Linked DNA regions of Cricetulus griseus. The protein of the gene in region 5 interacts with the protein of the main gene of each other region in a pairwise test. Links are inferred from orthologs where the notes say so. Each region holds a gene or a part of one and is shown on either strand. Other genes may lie near its edges.

Region 1 (3,500 bases), on a different chromosome or scaffold from region 5:
TTATTTAAAGGTTAAATAGACAAGAAGAATGATAAGTATTTGCATCTGTTCCTGCTGACCTAGTGACCTGAGTGACTCTTCCCTCATGTAGTTAGATTTTCTGGCTTCTTTTCTGGGGGATGAATCAGCCCTCCAGGAGTATGCCAGCAGGTCAGCTAGGTCTCTTAGCAGCACTCAGCTTCTGTGTTTGGTGCTCTCAGCAGGAGGGGCCTAGGTCAAATCCTGCATCTGATAGCTTTTATCTGGGACATGTTCTTTCAGGTCACCTCTTCTATAAATTTGGAATCACGGAATCTGACTGGTATCGCATCAAGCAGAGTATTGACTCCAAGTGCCGTACTGCATGGCGGCGGAAGCAGCGAGGCCAGAGCCTGGCAGTCAAGAGCTTCTCCCGGAGGACACCGTCCTCATCCTCATATAGTGCCTCAGGTATGCCCAGGAGATGGCTGCCCTGAAGCCTTTGTTCTCATGGAGAGTGCAGCCAGGGAGCTCGTTAATTCTGGCCCCACTCAGTGTGAGGCTGGCCTTTTGGGAGCTCCCTAGACAGTGGCAAGAGCATGAGGCCTGCATATCTTACCTTGTAGGTCCAACAAGAAGAGTTTGTGCTGGATCTACCTTATGTTGCCTGATTACTCATCACCTGAGTGTTCCACAGCCTTAAAAGTAATTACTGTTACTTGCAGCATGGCTGTAGGTGAAGGTGGAGGGCCTACATTGTGCTGCTCTTTAGTTTTACTTTGAGGTTGTAGACTCAGGCTTGTTCTCAAGATCACTGAGACAAATTCTCTGAGCTCTACCCATGGGCCTGCCCCCCTCTCATTATTCTAGTGCTAGGACTTGTGCCTGAGGGTCTTGGACGATCTTGGCTCTAGTACTTTGCACTGAACTATGTTCTCAACCCTAAAATAGTCTTTTAAACTCCTTTTCATGGCTTTCTTGGCAATAGCAGTAGCTCCTGAAAGCTGAGTCCTGTTTGGGGGTCAGCTCAGGACCCAGAGCAGCAGTGGGCAGGGGGCTGGCAGGGCTCCCTCTCAGTACAGGCTTTGTCCAGGGACTTTGTTTTGGAAGCTACAAAGCTAGTCACCTGGAGCCCTCCTTGACCATCTTCCTCTCTTATTTTGGTGGTTATCAGAAATTTAGCTCTAGTTGTTGCCAAGGTTCCTAAAGTGACACCTGTCCGAGAACAGGGAGCTGGCATGCCTGTCCTCAATTCAGCATGCCTCCCAAGGCACAGTTTGGAACCTGAAGAAGCAAGGGGCCTCTGGGAAGTATACAGCCGAATTAACAGTTGAGGAGGCAGACTGGTGCTGCTGTGAGAGCCCAAGTAGTGAACCTGCTGAACTTAGAAATGTGGTCCCATGTGACACAGAGTTCCCTTGGATTCTTGCTGTTTTCTGAGCTGAACATGCTTGCAGTGAATAGTAGCTGGGATTCTTAGCCAGTGTGCCCAAGCTCACATTGGGCTGAACAGGCATCCAGATGCTCACCAGCCAGAGCAAAAAGCCCAGGAGACAGGTCCAACTTTGGGAGAGAACTAGAGGGCCCTGGGTGTGCTTTCCCCAGAGAAAAGATGGTTTTTTTTGTTTGTTTGTTTTGCTTTTGTTTTTGTTTTTGTTTTTTTTAAATATTTATTTGTGTGTGTGTGTCTGTGTATGCGCATTGTCTCTTGCCTGCATGTAAGTCTATGCAACATATGCATGCTTGGTGCTGGATGAGATAAAAAGAGTACGTCAGATCCCCTGGAACTGGAGTTATGGATGGTCGTGAGCTACCATGTGGGGGCTGGAACTGAACCCAGGTCCCCCGAAAAAGTAGTAGTGGTCTTAACTGCTGAGCCGTCCCTCCTGCCATTCAAAGTCAGAACTTAAAGACAACCTGAGAAGATCACACTGGGCCACAGGTTTCATCAGTTTAATAGGAAGACAACAAAATCTAGACACCTAATCTGGGTACATTCACAAGGTTTCAGACCCAATACCAAGAAACAGGAAAAATATGACCTATGACCAAAACAGATAACAAACAAAACCGAAATCAACCAACCAACCAATCAACCAACCAACAACAACAACAAAAAAAACAACAAAAAAACCCCTAGTGACTAAGGAGGCCTTGCCTGGAATTAACAGCCCATGGCACTAAAATGTTAAGTAAAGTTATGTTCAAGGACTTAAAAGAGGAATAGAAATGTAGTAGCAAGGAAAGAAATAAGATTTTCAAAAAAATTGCCAAGTAGAGTTAGAGATGAAACATGAGGGAACAGTTTCCAGGGCCTGCGTTTCATGCAGCTGAAGCTGGCTGTTTATCTAGGACTTGTAAGGAATTATAGTCAAGTAGAGTTATTGGACAGTGTCTTGATGAGCCAGGTCGCACCCCAAATCTCTCACAGTTTGGTCCTGGTCTTGAAGCCAACAACAGTGGAGACTCAGGTACTTGTGCCTGTTTCTGTGGCTCCTGCAGGCTTACTTACTTATTAGTGGTTGGGCTCTTCTAGTTATTTGTGTTTCTTTCCACTGCTTGACAGTAGCTGAGCATGATGGTATTTGTATTCCATTTTTTAATTTCCAAATTTTTTCTTTTTATAATTAGTAGCTAGCTGCTTTATTTATTTGCTTATTTATTGATACTCTGTTTATAAACATAGTGGCAGCTTCTTTAAGATGCTATGGATGCTGGCTTCTTGTGTGGGCAGTTAGCCACTGTGCAGTGTATTAATTGCCCAGATTCTGAAAAGGTCCCCAGGAATGGCATGTTTGAGGAGTTCTGGCAGCTGTGACTGCTGGGCAATGGACAAACCCTGTAGTATGTGTCTGACTGAGGCATCATTCCCAGAAGGCACTGCCAGGTGGCTGTTCTTTTGTCCTGTTTGACCTGTGGTCTCTATCCTCCTGCCATTGGACATCATTGAGTGAGAACAGTGCTGACCCTGTTCTGTGGTTTTTGTTTGGAGTAGAAGAGAACATGTGGCTGGGAATGGGAGTCAGGAGGCTCAAGAACACCATGAGGCATGATTACTGTAATCATCTTCTGGTGGCTTTGGGTATGTATTGTTTGGGACTAGCTCAGAGCTGCCTGTGAGATAGTAGATATAGTTTCAGGTCATGGCTCATCATCAAGACAGGCACTTGCTTTCAGAAGAGGGCCTGGGCTGTCCTTGCCACTCAGCATCCATGGGGTCTGGTGACAGTTCACTGCTTTGTAAACTGATGATGAGGAGACATTTGTTGGCAAAGATCTGATTAAGCAGAGTGGGTGGTTAAGCCAAGGGACTTTTGGAATCTTTGTCTTTGTTCTGTCTGCATCTGCTGTTGCCTTAGCAAAACTATTCTGGTATTCAAGGCTATTTTGGTGATGGTAAAATGTAATTAAGCCAGAATTCTGTTAATTTGGAATTGGTATTAATTCCAGCTGGGTTGCCTTGTTACCATTGAATTATTAGCAGAGACAAGGGACCACCACAAAATACTGCAAATGAATTCACTTTTTTCACTTAAAAATAT
Region 2 (2,766 bases), on a different chromosome or scaffold from region 5:
AGACACACACAATAACGATGATGATGATGATGATGATGATGATGATGATGATGATGATGATGATGATGATTAATAGGGACCCAGCAGGGGTGGCACATATCTTTAATTCCGGCACTCAAGAGACAAAGGCAATAGGATCTCTGAGTTCAAAGCCAGCCTGGTCTACAAAGTTGAGTTCCTGACCTTGAAAAAATTACTGATGATGATGATGATGATGATGATGATGATGATGATGATGATGATGATGATGATTTTTAATTTAAGTAAAAAATTCTAGAGAGATTCCAAAGAAATTCCAAATATGCACTATAGAGTACTATGAGAATACATACTTTCCTTTCCTAAATAGTAATTTATTACTGTCCTTCTGGTTAAAGCTAATACTTTATTTATCCTTCAGTGAAATATTCACCATATTTATTTATTTATTTTATTTTTTTTAAAGGAACCTCGAAAGTTAAGTTACGCTGAAGTATGTCAGAAGCCTCCTAAGGAGCCATCTCCAGTGCTTGTACAACCACTGCGGGAACTGCGATCCAATGTTGTATCTCCCACCAGAAACGAAGAGAATGGAGCACCCGAGAAGCCTGTGGAAAAAACACACGAGAAACCAGAAACAAGGGCTAGTAAGGATCATTCTGGCTTCCGAGGCAATACCATTCCCCGGGGAGCAGCTGGAAAAATCAGGGAACAGAGACGCCAGTTTAGCCATAGGGCTACACCTCAGGGAATGACTCGACGTAATGGGAAAGAGCAGTTCGTGCCACCCAGATCACCAAAGTAAAAGCAAAACATAACAAAAACTACTCAGAAACTTCTCTCTTCCCACTAAACTTGAGCCTATATTGAACTGTTTTGAAGGGAGGAAGTAGCCAGGAAAGATGGGAAGTATGTCCTTAAATATTATGGATTTTGGAATTTTAAGAGGAGCCCAAAATTCATCTCTAAGTGATTTTCAAATGCTGGAGGATTCCAATCAGTATAAATATATATAAATATATATATATATATACACACACATATATATAAATATAATTTTTCTATTTTTGTTTTTGATTTTAATTTGCAGGGATTTCTGCCTGGAATCAATTTTGAGGGTTCAGATTTAGCTTGGGAGAGAAAACAAAAAACATTATACATCCTTCAGTATAGGAGATGAGGGAGTGAGAGAAAATATTTTTTGAAGAAACATTTCTGTAAAAATTAGAAATTACTTTTTTTAATCTATTTAAAGTTTGGCTTGAAAAATGCCATCTCTGACAAATGGCCTTGTGTTGCAGAGCAGGTCAGTAGCTGAGGTGTCTGTTCTGGGTGTGAGTGTGTGCAAAGTGATTGAAGCCAAATATGTTGTCATGTTAGTAAATGATTTGAAAACTGAATGTAATACTTGAGTAGATCTTTTTGTAGTTTGGAATTTAGTTTGTTTTTTGACATTACTAATATTGTATTGTACTGAGCTAGCTATTAAGCTCTGATTGTGTGTGAAGCTGTGACTACCAATCAGTCTGATATTCAAGAAAAGGATAGAGATGATTCAAAAGAAATTGAGAAATTCTGTTCTAGACCTGAATACTGGATAGGTCAAATCAATTTCAGAGGTTCAAACTGCCCTATGACTTTTTTTTTAATCCTCTTTAAAATGGAAGACAATTTTTTTTTTTACTTGTTTGTTAGTCTCTGTTCTTTGACTCTTCACCCCCAGAACCAAAATAACCAACCATTTCCTGGATTGTGGTTTCTCACTACTTTGACCAGCTTAATCAAATCATATATCTAACCTAAACGTTATAATGGATTATTGAAAAATTTTATTCTTCTATCAAAGAAATTAGAATTTTAGGATGCAGGATGGTACTGGCCTGCCATTAATTTATTTGTATTGGTGTTAAAAAAGAAAAGTGCTTCTAGATGGGGAGACAAACACATCTCTATCCCAGCTTCAGAGGCAAAGGCAGGTGCATCTAAATTCTAGGCCCACCTGGTTTACATGAAATACAGTCCATCCAGAACTACCTAGTGAGAGGCCCTGTCTCAAAAAAAGAAAGATTAAGCAATGTAACTGACTTTTTAAAATGATATAAAAGAGAAAAAATTTAAGAATTAATTTGGGGAGGCTTCTTTTTCTTTTTACAGTGTTTGTCATCTTTTCCCCTCCCCACCAAGAAATACAGTTTGTTATTCACTGACTAAAAACAGCAAGTCAAGAAATTTTTGAGATAAAGTGAGAAAAATGGTTGAGGAAAATAAATGCATAATTTCTCAGTGAATAAAGTTATAGCTGTCATATATTAAATAGGCAAGTTTACATACTGATATTTAGAAAACAGCTCAAATATGAAAAACCATGTTGGATTGATCTATTTGAAGTCATACCATTTTTATAGTTGTATGTAGGGTGGTGGTTTATTTTTCTGCTTAGGGATAGTTACAGTAGTAAGAACTGTCCCTTACATTAGTGAGTTACGTATGTACAAATTGAAACTGTAAATTGTGGACACTGGAAAGCACCATTGTGACATAAACATCGTAGTAATATATTTAAAATGAATGTAAATGGAAGTTAAAGTTATATTACTGTGAAACTGATCTTCCAACTCCTAAGTGTCAGAGATTTGTGTTAGTGGGTAATTCCTAAGAGCTTTGAAAACACTGCACAATTTGTGTAACCTGCAATTATTATTTCTTTGTAATTTATTTAGCTTGGCAATCGCTTATGGTTTGGTGGGTTGGTAACATGGTATATTTGCTCAGTTGGAAACGATTAGT
Region 3 (2,153 bases), on a different chromosome or scaffold from region 5:
GGAAATCATGTGTGTTCCAGGCTGAAATCGTGAAGAGGCTGAATGGGATTTGCGCCCAGGTTCTGCCCTATTTGTCACAGGAGGTAAGCGAGCCACCAGCAGGGGGCCTTGGGGTTCCATCTGCCCCTTGCTGGGTGCCCCCAGGGCACAAGTCTGCCTGCCTTCTCTGAACTCATCAAAGAGAAGCTGCCGCAGCAGGACAGGCTTACTTACATCAAGGCATAAAGGGGAACCCCTGTGGGTGGGGTCAGATGATGGGGACCCAGGTGGGCAGGTGGCTCCTGCAGACTAGCTTTCAGAGGAAATCCCCCAAGCTGGATTCCTAGCCCTGCCTATCCCAGGCCCCACCCCCACTCCATCATCCTCCCACTGTCCCCTGAGTCCCTAGGACAGGACTTCCCTGTCATTACAGCAGTTGCCCGCTGCACAGAAGCCCCCCCCCCAATTTCTTTTCATCAATCCCACTTGATTGTCCCTTTGCCTGAGGGAACAGTCACTAAGCCCCCTCTGTCTCCTCCCCTTGCTTATTACAGCATCAGCAGCAGGTCCTGGGAGCCATCGAGAGAGCCAAGCAGGTCACGGCTCCCGAGCTAAACTCCATCATCCGAGTAAGTTGGAGCCCTGGGTGAGCATGGGATAGGTGACCCCCGGTGGGTTAATAACAGGAGATGCGGCACCCAGGTGGGCCCTGGGCTGACCCTGCCCCCCCTCCCCCATCCTGCAGCAGCAGCTCCAGGCTCACCAGTTGTCCCAGCTTCAGGCCCTGGCTCTGCCCTTGACACCGCTTCCCGTGGGGCTCCAGCCGCCATCGCTCCCTGCGGTCAGCGCGGGCACCGGCCTGCTGTCACTGTCAGCGCTGGGCTCTCAAACCCACCTCTCTAAGGAGGACAAGAACGGACACGATGGGGACACTCACCAGGAGGATGATGGCGAGAAGTCGGACTAGCTCCTGGGGAGGAGGACACAGGGGAGACAGGCACAGATAGGTCACGGTGTTCCGAGGGCCACACAGCACACAGCTCGGTCACTACCCAAGTTTCCACCCCCAGTCCTGGTTCCGGCCTTCTTGCTGTGCACCCCGGGTCTAGGGGACTCCAGAGAGGTACCCCAGGCTACAGGGAGCCGCAAGAAATCCCCCACCTCCACATTTACCCGGGCCACAGCCACCAATCTTGGCCCAGAATGTACACAACGCAACGCTAGCTGCCCCTTTCCACCCTGCACACCCAGAGTCTGGTCCTGACCCCTTCTCTCTCTGCTTCCCGCACTGCACACCTGCTAGGCCCAGACAACCCCCCCCCCAATCACCCAGCCTGGTCCCCTTGCCCACGAAAGAAGGGGACAGAGAGGAAGTGACTCGAAGGCACGGGGACTGCAGTGGGGGTGGGCACCCAAAAACTTCCTTTCTCCCCTTCCCCAAATAAACGTGAGGGTTCTGAAGTTGGTTTGTTTATTGTTCCTTTTTGCCCTGGTATTATATAGCTTGTCTTCTAAGAAAGGGGATTTAAAAAAAAAAAAAAGACCGAAGCCCCACGCGTGTCTGTGTATATAGTTAGCTTTGGTGCGTAGTCTTGGTCTCCCCGAGAGAAGGGAGATTGCTGTACTGAGGCTGGGGTCTAGCTGTGCCTTTGAAATAAAAACATGAAAAGGTTGGCCACTGTGTCCCTGCCTCTGTCTTGTGGGGTGGGGACCCCTTTCCTCAGGACGCCCCCGTCCCAAGACAAAGATCCCTCAAGCAAGGGCCCAGAGGGTGAACTATGGACATGGGGGGCACACAATACAGCTGTGAGCAGAGGTGGCTGTGGCACCCACAGAGAGTCACTAAACCCTGCTTACCCTCCCAGAGATGGCCTGAGTGCTTCCTGTATCTCTTCCAAGCTAGGCTGTCTCTGGGGAGGCCCTGGCACACATCTCCACTTGTTTTAATTTTTTTTGCATTTACTGGTTTGTTGCCTCTGTGTTGATCAGTCAGATGCCTTGCAGACACCTTGCAGGTGTCTCTTCCACCATGTGGGCCTGGGAATTGAACTTAGGGTATTGAACTTCACTGTAATCACCTCTACTGGTGGGGCCATCTTATGGCTCTGTTTTTGTTGCTTATTTTTTGAGACATGGTCTCTCTGAGTAGCCTAGGCTGGCCTGGAACTCCTCAA
Region 4 (3,967 bases), on a different chromosome or scaffold from region 5:
TTCACACATATTGGTAAAGTATTTATCAAAAGCTAATGAAACAACACAGGGTTTACTCCACAAATGTGTGATGGTATGCATTTTATTTTTTTTTAAGGAATGTATAATTGTTTCCTCATCCATCTGAAAACTGATTGCAGAAGGGCCAGTGACCGCAAGAGCAATAAAAGGCTGAAGCCACAAATCCTGAACTACCCTCTAAGATGGTACCCTTTGGGTTTTCCACAGAACAAATAAAAGTGACCTCAATATCTCAGAAGATGCCAGTTTTATTTTATTTTTTTCAAGTTTCACCATGTGGGGTAATCATATTTATGAAAAAAGATTTGACATCTGGATTACAAGCAAGATCAGGTTGAACTACCTTGAATTGTATTAATTAAACATCTTTCAATGTGCGCTCATTTAATTTTATTCATGCCCAAACCATATGAATAATGAAATTAGTACCAGCAAAACCACCATCGAAAATTTGGGAAAAAAAAGTCAAGAAAGAGGAGGAGCTCCAGTCTGGGCAACCACAGCATACATATACTTGTAATTTCAGCCAGCCTGGTCTACTTCGGGGAGACTTTGCAAAAAAGATAGGAGAGAGGGAGACCTGGAATACGAATGAATGAATGAGTGAATGAATGAATGATGAACAGATTTGGGATTAGGTGACTGCAATTTACTTTGTAAAGGAGAGGATGAGGTCCAAGGTGGCATTTAGAGCTACCTGGAAGTTCAGTGGCTCTGGCTGCCCTGATGAAGTGTGACCTCTCACAGAGGGTGTGTGAGTGAACGTGCCCTCCCTAGGCCTCCGGAGGGGCCTGGAGAGCTTCCTCGGGCGGATAGCACCGAGGTGAAGGATGGGGGCGGCGGCGGCGCATTCCCGCCGGGCTAACAAAGGCAGCGGAGGGACTTCCAGAGCCGGGAAGCCCGCGCGGGGCCGAAGGGTTAACCCGGAGCCCGGCTCCCGCGCGCATCCCGGCCCCCGCCTGCCGTCGCTAGGAGACGCCGGAAGTGGGGGAGGGGCGGCGCGGGTGGGAATCTTTTTCGGGAGCCCGGGGGCGGAGGGAGGGAGGGGAGCGCGCGTGCGCGTGCCCGCGCTGCCCGCCCGCCCGTCGCCGCGGTGACCGTCCTCGCGGCTCTCGCCGGCTCGCGCCCCCGCCTCCGTCCCCCGCCCCCTCCCGCCCTCCCCGCCGCGCGCTGGGGGTGCCGCTCGCTCCTCCCGATTCCCGCCGCGCTCGCCGCTGCTCCTCCTCTCTCAGGCGTCGCGGCCGCTGCCTCTGCGGGCTGTATGAGGAGGCGGAGGAGGAGGAGGATGTGAAGATGGCGGAGCTGCAGATGCTGCTGGAAGAGGAAATCCCGGGGGGCCGCCGGGCCCTCTTCGACAGCTACACGAATCTGGAGCGGGTGGCCGACTACTGCGAGAACAACTACATCCAGGTGCGTCGCGTCCCCCCGGCTGAGCGCGTCAGGTCGCGGGAGTGTGCGGGGCGCGCGGGGCGCCGCCGCCTGAGGAGGCCGCGCGGTGCTCGGCCCGGGGAGCCGCGCCGGGGTGGGGACGGGCGAGGGCGGCGGCGGCGGCGGCGGCGGCGGGAGGAAGCGGGCTCGGCGGAACGCCCCAGAAGCCCCGTGCGGGTCCGCGGTGCGGTGCGTGCGTGTGTGGCGGCCCGCCTCCTCATCGCTGCCCCTTTGCCCCCGCACTCTTCGCCTGTCAGGGTTCCGGGCGGCGGCGGAGGAGGTGGCGAGTGGCATTTTGTAGATAACGGAATGCTGCTCGGATGGCCGGGTTGTGTGTGATAGAGGGATATGTTACCTCCTGCCCAATTCCCAGGGGCTTTTAAGGGGTCCAGTTCCTGCAAAGTGAATTGCTTCGGTTTTCCCTTCCTGGGAATGTCCCCTGAAGACAAAACAAAAATACTTAACCCTTAAGTTTAATTTTTTTTTTTTAAGGTTGTAAAGGGGACACAGTGGGACGGCGTCCCTTATTACAAGTTAATGGCATTTTTCTCAATACAGAGAATGGGGAACTGCCCGATGATGGGCTGCTTTTCCTCCCCAATCCCCGTTAGAATAGGTCATTTTCCTATGGGAAAAAGAACTATGACTATTTTTCACAAAGATTTACGAAAATGAACCTTAGTTTTTTTCCCATGATGATTGCTTTGGCACCGGGACTCATAGTGGGTGTGTGTAGGAAGGTGAGAAGGTGGGGGAAAGACATTGGTGAGATGAGAACCAGCTGGTCATGGATGAATGTTAAAAATCTTATGGGTTAAAACAACGCTTTAAAAATTAACTAATGATTTTCAAATCCAGTATCTCTTGTTTTCCGTAGGGCATATACGGAATTTTGGGTTGTGCCTCGTTTATGTTCTCTGGATAAAGTGGAAGCAGGGTGTTAAGCTGTTAGCCCTTTTTAAACATTCTTGTTCCTACTCCCATCTCTGCAGATACCCTTATCGTAACCAGTTATATTGGAAAGCATTCTCAGTAGTTAGTATGAATTGTATATATTAAAAATTCTATAATTTATAGGTTCATAAGTTTTCTGGGGACCACATGGTTAATCAGAGATAATGTCATTAGGTTTTTCATTGATTACACATGTACTGAACTCTACTACTGTTGCAAACATTTGTGTTGGGGAATGAATCTGACATAATGGAATCCTTTTCCCTTCAAAGAAGGAGTTGAAAATGTGTGTTCAGTAGGAAGAAAGTGTGACTTTGGTTACAGATTGATTTAAAAACAAATCAAAACCCTAAGATACTTGCTAATACAGAGCTGTGTAGGAGTTAAAAGGTTTTATTGCTTAGCTTCACCAGTCTTCTTTGGCCCAGAACTGTTGATGGTACACTCCTAAAGTCTTCAGGGGTTTATAATGTAGTTCAAGAGGCTGATCTGTGAGCGAATTAAACCCATATTAGTACTATATATCGTCAGCCCTTCTTGTTGGAGGGTCCTACATTTGTGATTCAATAAATTGATCAGTGAAAATACTCCCTCTGTATAAATGCAAAGAGACGTTTTTCTTGTCTTTCCCTAAAAGATAGTGTTAACACTTAATGGGCATTTACATTTTATTAGGTATTGTAGGTAACCTGTAGATTTAAAATATGGAGGAGGATGTGTTATGGATAACATGTAAATATGCAGTTTTATGTAAAGGACTTGAGTATCCAGAGATGTTGGGATGGGGCTGTGGTGTTGGTGTGGGGGGTGTTCTAGAACTGATCCCTATTGGATACTGAGGGAAAAGTCAAGTATAGTTAATTTATACTTTGTAGTGGATTGTGGGTAGGGAGGTTTTGCTTATTTTCAGGGATTCACAGCTGCTAGGAGAGGCAAACCTAAAAGTGCTAATTCTGTTGCCTCATGTAGCATATTGTGGGAAAGTGTCTGTCAGAAGAGAAACTGGGGGATGGAAAAGTGATAGGATTGTAGTTGTAGCCGACTAATAAGAAACAGGTTTGTCTGTCTTTGGAAGATTAATGCTACTATGTTAGATTATAATTGCCACATAAAGGGAAGCATACATGAATTGATCTAGTGGAAAAGTGTAAAATCAGCATTTGTCTTAAATTTTATAATTCTAGCTGAAAGAGAAGTGTCAAAATTGGTATGTTATTTACGTACTTATTTTTGGTGTTGGGGATTGAGTTTAGGGTCTTGTGCGTGTTAAAAATATACTCTACCTGAATTATACTCTGAGCCCACGGTAAAAGCACAAATAATAATTTCCTAGAAATGGATTTTGAATTTTGAATCATCTGTTTTCAATTTAGCACCTGAAGTAGAGTTTGTACTTTGATTGCTTAGGTTGTCCTCTATTGTGGGAATCACTGGATTTATTACAGTTGTGCTCTCCCAGGTGACACTTCTTACATGATAACTAGAACTGGTGATAGTTGATTTGTGCTGACCCAGCTGTACATTTGACTCAAGAACTGACCAGCAGGGGTCCTGATGCTGTCTG
Region 5 (4,103 bases):
CCAGGACAGCTAGGGCTACACAGAGAAGCCCTGTCTTGAAAAACCAAAACCAAAACAAATAAAACAAAACACACACACACACACACACACACACACACACACACACACACACACACACACAAACACACACACAAAAACAAAAAACCAAGGTGGGAACTGGGGACGTAGCTTATTAGGTAGAGTGTGTGTCCGAGCATTGGTGAAGACCTGGGTTCAGTACCCAGCACCATATAATCCAGGTATGGTGGTGCTGACCTGTGATTTTGGCACCCGGAAGGTGGAAATAAGAGGATCGGGAGTTCAAGGTCATCCTCAGGCACTTAGTAAATTTAAGGCCAACCCGAGGTATATAAGACCTTTCAAAAATAAAATAAACTAATGAAATGAAAATATGAGGTGGCCTGATGGACAAATTTGGGGTTGAATTTTGGCCTCCCCTCTGCTTCTATACACATACCTGCCCCACACTTGGAGTGATGGCTAATGTCTAGAGTCTTAGCACTTGTGCGGTGGAGACAGGAGGGTCAGAAATATCAAATCAACCTTGGCTAGTTTAATGTCAGGTCAGCCCGCAACAGGAAACCCTGTTGCACAAAACCAAAAAGAACCCCCCACCCCACCCCTGCCCTCCAGACAGGGTTTCTCTGTAACAGCTCTGGCTGTCCTGGAACTGGCTCTGTGGACCAGGCTGGCCTTGAATTCACAAAGATCCACCCACCTGTGCCTCCCAAGTGCTGGAATTAAAGGCGTGTGCCACCACCACCTGGCAAAACATTTCTTTTCTTTTTGAGTTGGGTATTGTGGCCTTGTCTACAAATTGAGAGCCGGGAAGGGTGGTGCATACTTTAATCCCAGCACTCTGGAGGCAGAGGTAGGTAGGTGGATCTCTGAGTTTGAGGCCATCCTGGACTATAGAGTGAGTTCCAGGACAGCCAAGGCAACCGAGGAAACCCTGTCTCGGAAAAACAGAACAAAACAAACAAACAAACAATTAGGAGTTCCAGGACAGCTAAAGCTATATTCTAAGGTCCTGAAACTCACTCTGTAGACCATGCTGGTCTTGAACTCACAGTCATCTGCCTGCCTCTGTCTCACCAGTGTGAGTGTTTAAGGAATTAAATGAATGTACCATAGCCAACACTTGGATTCTAAAAAACGAGAGGGAGAAAGAGAAAGAGAGAGACGAGATTGGATTACTGGTGAGAATGGTTCCTGAGAAGAGCCCCTGAACAGGATGTGAGTATCAATTTGTCAGTGCCCTGGCAGTGGGAAGAGTGAACACCCCTTTCTCTTGTAGGTGCCCCCATCTGGGTCCCAGTCACAGAAGATCATGATGGCGTATATGAACCCGGGACCTCACTATTCGGTCAATGCCTTGGCTCTGAATGGCCCCAGTGTGGACCTGATGCACCAGGCAGTCCCATACTCAAGTAAGTGTGCTCCTCTTCCCATCTCTGTCTTGTTTTTCCATCAGTCTGTAAAACTTTATTTCTAAAAGAAGTGAGCATTCTAATGACCACGGTACTATCTTTTCTTTGTCTCCGTCTCTTATTTTTGGAGTAGAGCTTGTTGGGCTGGAATCCAGGGCTTTCTTGGATTCTAGGCAAGTACTTTACTATGGAGCTGTGAGTCACCCTCACTGGGGGGTTTTAGGCATGTGCTTTTCCACTGAGCCACGCCTCCAGCCCTTCAACTCTGGGATTCTAAGCAGGGGGCTCTACCATGGAGCCACACCCCCAGCCTCCTGGTTCAGTCTCTAGAGGCCTGGGATTATAGTCCTGCACCATCATGCTGTACTATGGTACTTATTTAACAGTTCTCTTTTCTATTTCTTTCTTTTTTTTCCTCCTTCGTTCATTTTTGAGACAAATTCTCACTATGTAGCCATGGCTGGCCTGAAACTCACTATGTAGACCACATTTTTTTTTTCTTTTGTTTTGTTGAGACAGGGTTTCTCTGCAGCTTTGGAGGCTGTCCTGGAATTAGCTCTTGTAGGCCAGGCTGGTCTTGATCTCACAGAGATCTTCCTGCCTCTGTCTCCCGAGTGCTGGGATTAAAGGCAGGAGCCACCTTTTTTTTTTTTTTTTTTGTTTAGAGAATAAAAAAACGATTGCATGAGTTTTTGCATGCAGGATGGAAAGCAGGAGCCACGGCTGTCTTGCAGAGGTCTGAGATGACTTTTGGGAGTCATTTCTTTCCTTCTACCTTGTGGGTCCCAGGGACTGAACTCAGGTCTTCAGGCTTGTACATAATTGACACTGCAGTCTTGCTAGCCCACCTTCTTTCTTTTATATTGAGTCATAGAGACATCGCTTTTATGGGCTGAAGTGCTTGGTTTTTAACAACATGTTTCTACCGAATGTGTCTTTCTTTCTTTTTTTGTTTTTGTTTTTTTGAGACAGGGTTTCTCTGTGTAGCTTTGGAGCCTATCCTGGCACTCGCTTTGTAGACCAGGCTGACCTCGAACTCACAGAGATCCGCCTACCTCTGCCTCCCGTGTGCTGGGATTAAAGGCGTGCGCCACCAATGCCAGGCCTTTTTTTGGTTCTTTGAGACAGGGTTTCTCTGTGTAGCCTTGAAGCCTGTTCTGGAACTCCCTTTGTAGACCAGGATGGCCCCGAACTCTGCCTCCGGAGTGTTGGGATCAAAGGCGTGCGCCACCACTGCCTGGCCATGAATATGTTTTTATGAATAATAAGGTTCAGGAGCGGAGTCTGGTGCAGTGGCTCCTGCCTGAACTCCCAGCTATTTGGGAGGCTGAGGTAGGAGGACCAGGCAATCCCAGGATTTTAGGGTCGGTATGGGCTACATAGTGTAATGAAAGAGAAGGGGAGAAGAGAGAGGAAGAGGAGGAAGAGGGCGGAGGAGGGAAAGGAGGTTGGAGAGAATTGAGAACAAAAAGGGGCAAATCCTTGCAGGGCTAAAAGCAGTTCCCTCCTGTGGACATTTGACTGGAAAGCTCTGGAGACTTGAGCCGGTGCTAGAAGGCCGGGGAATAAACACAGCCCCTTGTCTGGGCAGAAAGGACAGGGCTGGTGTCCCACTGGATCAGGGCATCCAGCGAGCAGACCCAGCTAACCTGAGGGTTCTTTCATTCTCCCAAACCTAGGCGCCCCTAGGAAGCAGCGGCGGGAGAGAACCACGTTCACCAGAAGCCAGCTGGAGGAACTGGAGGCCCTGTTCTCTAAGACCCAGTACCCGGATGTGTATGCACGCGAGGAGGTGGCTCTCAAGATCAACCTGCCTGAGTCCAGGGTCCAGGTAGGATGTTCTGGAACTCTGCTGCTTTACTGTGATCTCTCTCTCTCTCTCTCTCTCTCTCTCTCTCTCTCTCTCTCTCTCCTTTTTCTTTTTCTCCTTTTTCTTCTTTTTCTTCTTCTTCCTCTTCCTCTTCCTCCCCCTCCTCCTCCTCCTCCTCCTCCTCCTCCTCCTCCTCCTGTTTGAGACAGGGTTTCTCAGGAGTCTATCCTGGAACTCACTTTGTAGACCAGGCTGGCCTTGAACTCAGATCTACTTGCTTCTGCCGCCCAAATGCTGGGAATAAAGGCGTGTGACATCACCGCCAAGTCCCTTACTATGATCTTCGATGGGTCCTTATTAGATCCAGAATGAGTGGAGGAAAGACAGGCCACAGAGTAACAGTCACAATTATGAAGTAGCAGCCGGGCATTGGTGCCGCACGCCTTTAATCCCAGCACTCGGGAGGCAGGTGGATCTCTGTGAGTTCGAGGCCAGCCTGGTTCCAGAGCGAGTGCCAGGACAGGTTCCAAAGCTACACAGAGAAACCCTGCCTCGAACCCCCCCTCCCCACCAAAAAAAAAAAAAACAAAAAAACAAAGACAGGGTTCTCAGTGTCCTGGAACTGACTCTGTAGACCAGGCTGGCCTCGAACTCAGAGATCTGCTTGCCTCTGCCTCCCAAGTGCTGGGATTAAAAGAGTGCCACCCCTGCCTGGATTTTTTTTATTTGTTTTTAATCTTAAAACTATATTTTGTTTTCCATGACTGGGTTTCTCTGTGTAACAGCTCTGGATGTCTTGGAACTTGCTTTCTAGACCCAGGCTGACCTTGAACTCACAGAGATCTGCCAGTCTTGCTGTCTCC
Region 6 (3,500 bases), on a different chromosome or scaffold from region 5:
CTAGTTCCAGGACAGCCTCCAAAGCCATAAAGAAACCCTGTCTCTAAAAACAAAAAACAAAAAACAAAAAACAAAAAAAAAAGAAGGGGGTTTAGTCAGGAGACCTTTACTCTGCTGGGATAGCTTTGTTGCCTGGTATTTTTTAAAATAAATTTTATTTTTTTTTATGTATGGGTATTTTGCCTGCATGTGTATCTGTGCACTATATGTTATATAGTGACAAGGAGGCTTGGATCCCTAGGGACTGGAGTTACAAATGATTGTGAGCCACCATGTGGGTGCTGGGAATGGAACTTGGGTCTTCTGCAAGAGTTAGGACTTTTTATGAAAATAATCTGAAAAGTATTAAAAGGAATATTTGATAGTCAACTTCCTTATAGCAAGATAACTTGTAGGTGGTTTCTATTTCTTGGTTTTGCATGTTGCTATATTTGCAAGTCTTAGGCAGCTGTGGATCAGAGGGTGTCAGAGAGTGCCTAGCTATGAGTGGACATAATTCTAACATGTAGAAATTACTGTTAAAAGTTAATGTTATTAATGTTACTATAATGGTGCCAGGTGAAACATTAAAATTTTATTATTTCCCTTTTAGTCATCCAAGCATTAGGTGAACATCTTAAATTAAGACAACAGGTTATTGCTACTGCTACAGTCTATTTCAAGAGGTTCTATGCCAGGTATGGCTGTTTTATTTTTTTGTTAGCCTGTTTGAGGTTCTCTTCTGATTTCCATATGCCATATATAAGTAAGTCACTTGATTGCTATAGAATTATGATTGCCTGATTACCCAGTGTGTCTTCTAAATGGACATAATTTAACTCTTGTCTAATCATGTTTTAGGTATTCTCTGAAAAGTATAGATCCTGTATTAATGGCTCCTACATGTGTGTTTCTGGCATCCAAAGTAGAGGTATAAAACAATTTTTTGCTCTTCATCAACCTATAATATTATGTACAGTTAATCTTTTTTTATATTGCCTTTGTATGGATAATCTTAAGGGGTAATTTATACAAGATAATACATACATCTTGCAAGTAATTTTATATATTTAATAAATATGGCACTTACTATGTATCAGATGCTTTAATGAGACTATAAGTTTTTGTTTAATCCTATAACTGTAGAGTATATAGCAATAGGGTAAAAGGGCCTTGACCTTGACTTGATCTGAGACCAGAGCCAGGGAGAGAACACCTTGACTCTTAAATAACCTGAGACCAAGATTAAGAAAAAGAATCCACCAGTCCCTGAGCTTGCACAAAATCAGGCCACAAAAATCCCACCAATTCCATACTACCCTGGAATTCTCTGCTCACCAAGAAACCCTATATAAAGCCTGCCTTCTACTCAGTTCCCTACTGCTTCTCATCCAAGCAGAGGCAGCCACCCTCCTGGGTTTTCCTTCCCTCCCAATAAATCTCTTGTGTGAGGTTTGTTGTGCAGCGTGACTTTGTAGAATGCCTTGGCTCCTGATTGCCGGGATGCCTTTCCCTTTAGACATGCAGCACTTCTATGGGGGAAGCCTTTCCTCTCAGAGCTGTAGTACTTTCATTGAGGAAACCTTCCCCCTCAGCTGACAATGCCTGCATTAGGTAAGCCTTTCCCCTCAGCTGTGATACCACCATTGGGGGTACTTCTCTTCAGAACTGTCAACACTGTCATAAGGGAAGTCTTTCCCCTTAGAGTTGTAACATTTACATCCCATTTTATAAATGAGGAAACTAAGGCATAGACCAGGATGGCCTCAAACTCACAGAGATCCTCCTGTCTCTGTCTCCCTAGTGCTAGGATTAAAGGCATCACCACTGCCCCCCTTAGATTACAGATTTTTAATTAAAGGTATTTGAATAGTTTTATTAAATAAAGGACCATTCTTGTTTTTTTTTACATTCATATTAAGTGAATGGTTTAGGAATCTTAAGTGGTTTATCTGAAATTAAATGCGAGTATTAAGTACATTACATGATAAACTTTAGCTATTTTATGATGGTAGTATATCAGGTTGAAAAGAAAATAACTTACCTACAAAGCCTTATATTTCATTATAACTGTTTCATTCTTTCAGAACTGTTGGTGTTTGGTCTTCTGAGTAGTATCAGCATTTATTTATTGATTGGTTGGTTGGCTGATTAATTGTGCTAAGGATTGAACATTCTGGATAAGCAATATACAATATACAATATACTTCTGAGCTATACTCCAACCCAAATTATTGAAATTTTAAGGAAAGGTAATACATTTAGAAATTTAAATGCTTCATCCATTAAGTAGGTAGCAACTGAACAGACTGTAAACATGAGAGGAGCTTGGAAAAACTGTTTCTGAATAGATCTCAGATATCTTTAATATTTACTGGGTTAGTAAGTACTTGATCTCATTCACTTTTCTCTAGGAATTTGGTGTGGTCTCAAATACAAGATTGATCGCTGCTACTACTTCTGTATGTAAGTGCAAAAAGTGTATTCTGCTTTAAAGATGAAATCCAAAGAAGGCTTTGTAACATACAGATTTTGTTTTGTTTATGACCCAAGTGTAGGTGAATTTATTACAGTGCCAAAGAATATCCTTAGCATATTAGACAGGAAAAAAAAAATGTCTGAAAAGATGTTTTTTACTGATGTAGGGTGTAGACCTGTAATCTCAGTGCTTAGGAGGGTAGAGGTAAAGGAGTTGTTTTTATTTTATGTTCATTGGTGTTTTGCCTGCATGTATGCCTATGTGAGGCTGTCAGAAGCCCTGGAACTGGGATTATGGACAGGTGTGAGCTGCCATGTAGTTGTTGGGAATTGAATCCAGGTCCTTTGAAGAGCAGCCAGAGCTCTTAACTGCTGAGCCATCTCTCCATCCCCAAAATGTCTCTTCTTTGATTTATTATTACTATTTTATGTGTATGAGTGTTTTGCCTGGATGTGTCTCTGTGCAAACATTTGTACTTTGTAATAATGGCCAGTGTTACAACATTTCACAGGTTCGGGCAAGGGAATCTGAGGGTTAAATAAAGACAAGACAGTGGCTCATTGTTGCAAGGAGAATGCCAGTTTATTTCAGAGGGGAGTAGACTTATATACCAACAGCTGTCACAGTAGAAATTTACTCAGACCAAGGTCCATGTCCCCAAGCCCCTCGGCAATGGGCAGATAGTTTGCATACAGGCCTAGGTGGAAGGAGGGAAATGAATGCCTAATCTCGAAGTGGACAGAGAACTCCAAGGGCACCTTAGGTCACCCAGCAGGGTCCCAACAGGACTTGGTGCCTAGGGAGGTGGTGAGCCTCCTTGTGGATGCTGGGAATTGAACCTGGGTCCTCAGCAACAAGAAGAATTCTTAACCACTGAGCCAAGCCAAGTCTCCAGCCTATACAACACATTTTTTACTTTCGTTATGATATTTTTTTTTTTTTGAGACAGCGTCTTATGTGAAACTTGGGCTTTTCCAGCTTCTACCTACCAAGAAGGATTGTTAATCTCCTGGTGAGATTATGGGTGTGGGCTACCATGCCT
Region 7 (3,020 bases), on a different chromosome or scaffold from region 5:
AGAGAGCCTGAGATAATGGGCACTGACACCACCTGGAGCTCCGCAGAGCCTGAGGTAACTAACGGGAACTAACACCCCTGAAGGTCTGTGCTCACTTGACAGTTAACTGAAAGATGAATGCCATGTACCAACTGCAAATATCATTAAATCAACACTTGGCTGGGGGCACTAATTAATCCCTTTTTTAAAATAGGCAAGTGATCCCTACAGGCGATGACGTTAGGATGTCTGCTGACTTGTACAAAGGCAGTTGTCCCACAGTAATAAATATAGAGCACTCTCATATCTCACTGCCTTCCTGAATCCACCCTGAATATTCTGTATTCTGTAGCTGTCTTTCTCTTACACAATACCATGATAAAGTTTAACTTGTAAACTATAACAAAAGAACAATTATAGCCATACATTATAATTCAAGTCATTTTAAACTTATACGTGCTGTTTATTTTTGCAGTGTTCCACTGGGTGGCGGCGGCGGCGGGGGTTGGGGGGGATATTAAACCAAAACTGAAACCTCAAAAAGCAAAATTGTGCTAAGGGGGGACTATTGTATGTGCATCAACACTGAATTAATAGGGTGACCTTGAGAAGGTTTTTCACGATTTTTGTTGGTTTTCTGTTACTGAAACAAAATACTTGAGACAATAAACCTTCAGAGAGGATAGATTTGTTTGGGTTTATGGTTTTAGAAGTTTGCAATCTGGTTCTGGTGATCCTTGCTTTAGAGCCAGCAACAAGGCAGTTCATCATGGTGAGGAGTGCATGATGGGAGATGCTCTTTACCTCATCACCTGAAACTAAAGAGAAAAAAAGAAAAGAGGGAGCCAATTCCCAACTGGCTCAGACTCTGCTGACGACACACCCCCGGTGACCTACAATCTCCTCCTATATCCCACCACTTTAAGAGTCCGCCATCTCTTGATGGTGTCACACTGGGGACCAAGCCTAAAACACATGGAACGTTGGAGGATCCTTAAGATCCAAGCACTAGCAGCAGTGTTTATGGAGGAACAGATAAGTTTTCCCTAGTCAACCTGATCCCATTTGCATTTCCCCCAAACCGTGCCGAGCAGGCAGTGAGCATGTGCAGAGCAGACCCTGGCATTGTTCAAGCCCTTCCACTTGCCAAGTGCTGATCTAAGAGTTCATGCATTTCAGGGTCACAGAAACCCTCTGAAGAGCTGGCTGCAACTAAATCCTGTACAATGCTGATTCAGAGAAAGAAAACACCCATTTGGTTAGGAGAGACAGGGACAGGATTTGAAGGCAGGTCTGAGTGGCTCCTGGGCCTCCACTATTAGGAACACATGGATGAGAACAGGTGCATCCATTGCTCAGCCACACCCTGCCTGACTATTGGGGACCTTCCTTGTTTCCGCACATCCACCAGCAGCTTCTGGACCCCAGGCCCAAATTGTGAATCTTAGCAGGACCTGGTTCACTATACAGAACCCAACAGCAGGTGTATTTTATTTATGATGTTGGCTGTTGGTATAGATGACTGTGTTCACAACATGTACATATTATATGTCATGGTGGCATGTGTTGTGTGTCATAAGTCTGTATTTGTGACTTTTTTTTTTTTAGGTAGGAAGCACTCAGGATTGCAGTGGAAACCTCAATAGCATGCCTGCCCCGGAAGCCACAGAACTGCTTGATATGACTGTTGATTCCAGCCTCCCTATTACAGGGCAGCCCTGCCCTTCCTTCCCAAACTCTGATGTTCACAGAGTCACCTATGACCTGGCCACCTTTCAAGAAGATGCAATGCTGACCTTTCAGAATTATTCAAATCCAAGAGTCTATTTGCCCAGACCACCTTGGAGCTATGAATTGGCGGGTCCTGTGGGTACAGGTTCAAGTCCGTATCCCACCCTGCATAAAGATTCTTCCAGTGTCCCTGATGACACTGACTGGGTTCATCTAAACTCACTACAATATAATGTCAGTTCATATGGCAGCTATGAGAGAAGCTTGGATTTCACAGCTAAATATCATGGCTGGAAACCTACACACAGAAAACCTGGCCTTGAAGAGAGAGTTGATTATGGGCAATGCCAGGCTGTGACCACATGCCCTTATTACAACCCAGAGCTGCCCTGCAGGTACCTGCCAGTGCCACCAGCAGGAACCCAGGCCCTGCAGACCGTGATCACCACCACAGTGGCCTACCAGGCGTACCAGCACCCTGCTCAGAAACACAGTGACAGCATGAAGGAGGTCAGCAGCCTGGCCAGCTGCACATATGCCTCTGAGAACCTCCCAATGCCCATCTACCCACAAGCCTTGGGCCCTCCAGATGCAGCCACGCAGGCAGCCTCTCCTCCGGAGAGAGCCCCCATGAAACTTCCAGGTGATTGCCAGGTCCTCAGACCCACTCTGGCTTTTCCTCAAGAGACAGATCCCTTCAGGACAGATGGAGCAGATGCGTGGGATGTGTGTCTGTCTGGGGTGGACTCTGTGACAGGTTACTTGGATAGAACAGGGCAGCCTTTTAACTTTGACAGTGAAGACTTTTAGAAGGATTCCAGGGAACACACCCCATGATAATGGAGTGCATGCAAGAAAATCCACGCAAAAGGGCAACCACCGATTGTTGAGATTAATTCACTTTGTATGTTTCATTTTATGTGTGCGCGCACACACACACACACACACACACACACACACACACACACACAGAGTTAGTATAAGGGTAAGCTAAGGATATTAGTGTGAAATGGTAGACAGGATGCTGGAGTTTGCTCAGCATTTTGAAGCCCACCTCACCACATAGGCTATTGGGAGTGTGAGTCTTCCAAATGAACACATAAATGAGCTGAAGGCCTGTAACACATGGGCCTGACTTCCCTTAGCTTACTAGCCAAGGTTCCTATTCTTTTTTTTTTTTTTTTCCATCTCAGGAGGGCTCTCCTGAGTCTGGAGACCACAGTTTATTCAAGCATCCTCTTAAATAGCTTTCCAACAGTATGGGTGATAGCAGAAGATATCTATTATCGTGTTAAAAGCTGATATCAACC

Evidence for each region.
Region 1: the proteins of cone-rod homeobox protein (region 5) and Banp interact in binary tests that used the Homo sapiens proteins (3 or more experiments, as listed by UniProt). The two-hybrid records come from large-scale screens. The link is inferred for Cricetulus griseus from reciprocal best matches to the Homo sapiens genes CRX and BANP.
Region 2: the proteins of cone-rod homeobox protein (region 5) and Larp4 interact in binary tests that used the Homo sapiens proteins (3 or more experiments, as listed by UniProt). The two-hybrid records come from large-scale screens. The link is inferred for Cricetulus griseus from reciprocal best matches to the Homo sapiens genes CRX and LARP4.
Region 3: the proteins of cone-rod homeobox protein (region 5) and Tle5 interact in binary tests that used the Homo sapiens proteins (3 or more experiments, as listed by UniProt). The two-hybrid records come from large-scale screens. The link is inferred for Cricetulus griseus from reciprocal best matches to the Homo sapiens genes CRX and TLE5.
Region 4: the proteins of cone-rod homeobox protein (region 5) and Abi2 interact in binary tests that used the Homo sapiens proteins (3 or more experiments, as listed by UniProt). The link is inferred for Cricetulus griseus from reciprocal best matches to the Homo sapiens genes CRX and ABI2.
Region 6: the proteins of cone-rod homeobox protein (region 5) and Ccnc interact in binary tests that used the Homo sapiens proteins (3 or more experiments, as listed by UniProt). The two-hybrid records come from large-scale screens. The link is inferred for Cricetulus griseus from reciprocal best matches to the Homo sapiens genes CRX and CCNC.
Region 7: the proteins of cone-rod homeobox protein (region 5) and Gcm2 interact in binary tests that used the Homo sapiens proteins (3 or more experiments, as listed by UniProt). The link is inferred for Cricetulus griseus from reciprocal best matches to the Homo sapiens genes CRX and GCM2.

What each region holds. Positions count from the first base shown.
Region 1 is NC_048596.1:198,640,727-198,644,226, forward strand, and holds part of Banp (protein BANP), read left to right. Parts: intron 1-261; coding exon 262-429; intron 430-3,500. UniProt on the Homo sapiens protein: Controls V(D)J recombination during T-cell development by repressing T-cell receptor (TCR) beta enhancer function. Binds to scaffold/matrix attachment region beta (S/MARbeta), an ATC-rich DNA sequence located upstream of the TCR beta enhancer.
Region 2 is NC_048595.1:396,485,682-396,488,447, forward strand, and holds part of Larp4 (la-related protein 4), read left to right. Parts: intron 1-445; coding exon 446-784; 3' UTR 785-2,766. UniProt on the Homo sapiens protein: RNA binding protein that binds to the poly-A tract of mRNA molecules. Associates with the 40S ribosomal subunit and with polysomes. Plays a role in the regulation of mRNA translation.
Region 3 is NC_048598.1:102,314,988-102,317,140, forward strand, and holds the end of Tle5 (TLE family member 5), read left to right. Parts: intron 1-20; coding exon 21-83; intron 84-533; coding exon 534-608; intron 609-724; coding exon 725-946; 3' UTR 947-1,653; downstream 1,654-2,153. UniProt on the Homo sapiens protein: Transcriptional corepressor. Acts as a dominant repressor towards other family members. Inhibits NF-kappa-B-regulated gene expression. May be required for the initiation and maintenance of the differentiated state.
Region 4 is NC_048595.1:414,643,646-414,647,612, forward strand, and holds the start of Abi2 (abl interactor 2), read left to right. Parts: upstream 1-1,167; 5' UTR 1,168-1,314; coding exon 1,315-1,431; intron 1,432-3,967. UniProt on the Homo sapiens protein: Regulator of actin cytoskeleton dynamics underlying cell motility and adhesion. Functions as a component of the WAVE complex, which activates actin nucleating machinery Arp2/3 to drive lamellipodia formation.
Region 5 is NC_048602.1:10,446,645-10,450,747, reverse strand, and holds the start of cone-rod homeobox protein, read left to right. Parts: upstream 1-1,303; 5' UTR 1,304-1,330; coding exon 1,331-1,430; intron 1,431-3,109; coding exon 3,110-3,261; intron 3,262-4,103. UniProt on the Homo sapiens protein: Transcription factor that binds and transactivates the sequence 5'-TAATC[CA]-3' which is found upstream of several photoreceptor-specific genes, including the opsin genes.
Region 6 is NC_048595.1:119,717,543-119,721,042, reverse strand, and holds part of Ccnc (cyclin-C), read left to right. Parts: intron 1-592; coding exon 593-677; intron 678-840; coding exon 841-910; intron 911-2,393; coding exon 2,394-2,445; intron 2,446-3,500. UniProt on the Homo sapiens protein: Component of the Mediator complex, a coactivator involved in regulated gene transcription of nearly all RNA polymerase II-dependent genes.
Region 7 is NC_048596.1:260,738,836-260,741,855, reverse strand, and holds the end of Gcm2 (chorion-specific transcription factor GCMb), read left to right. Parts: coding exon 1-16; intron 17-1,591; coding exon 1,592-2,520; downstream 2,521-3,020. UniProt on the Homo sapiens protein: Transcription factor that binds specific sequences on gene promoters and activate their transcription. Through the regulation of gene transcription, may play a role in parathyroid gland development.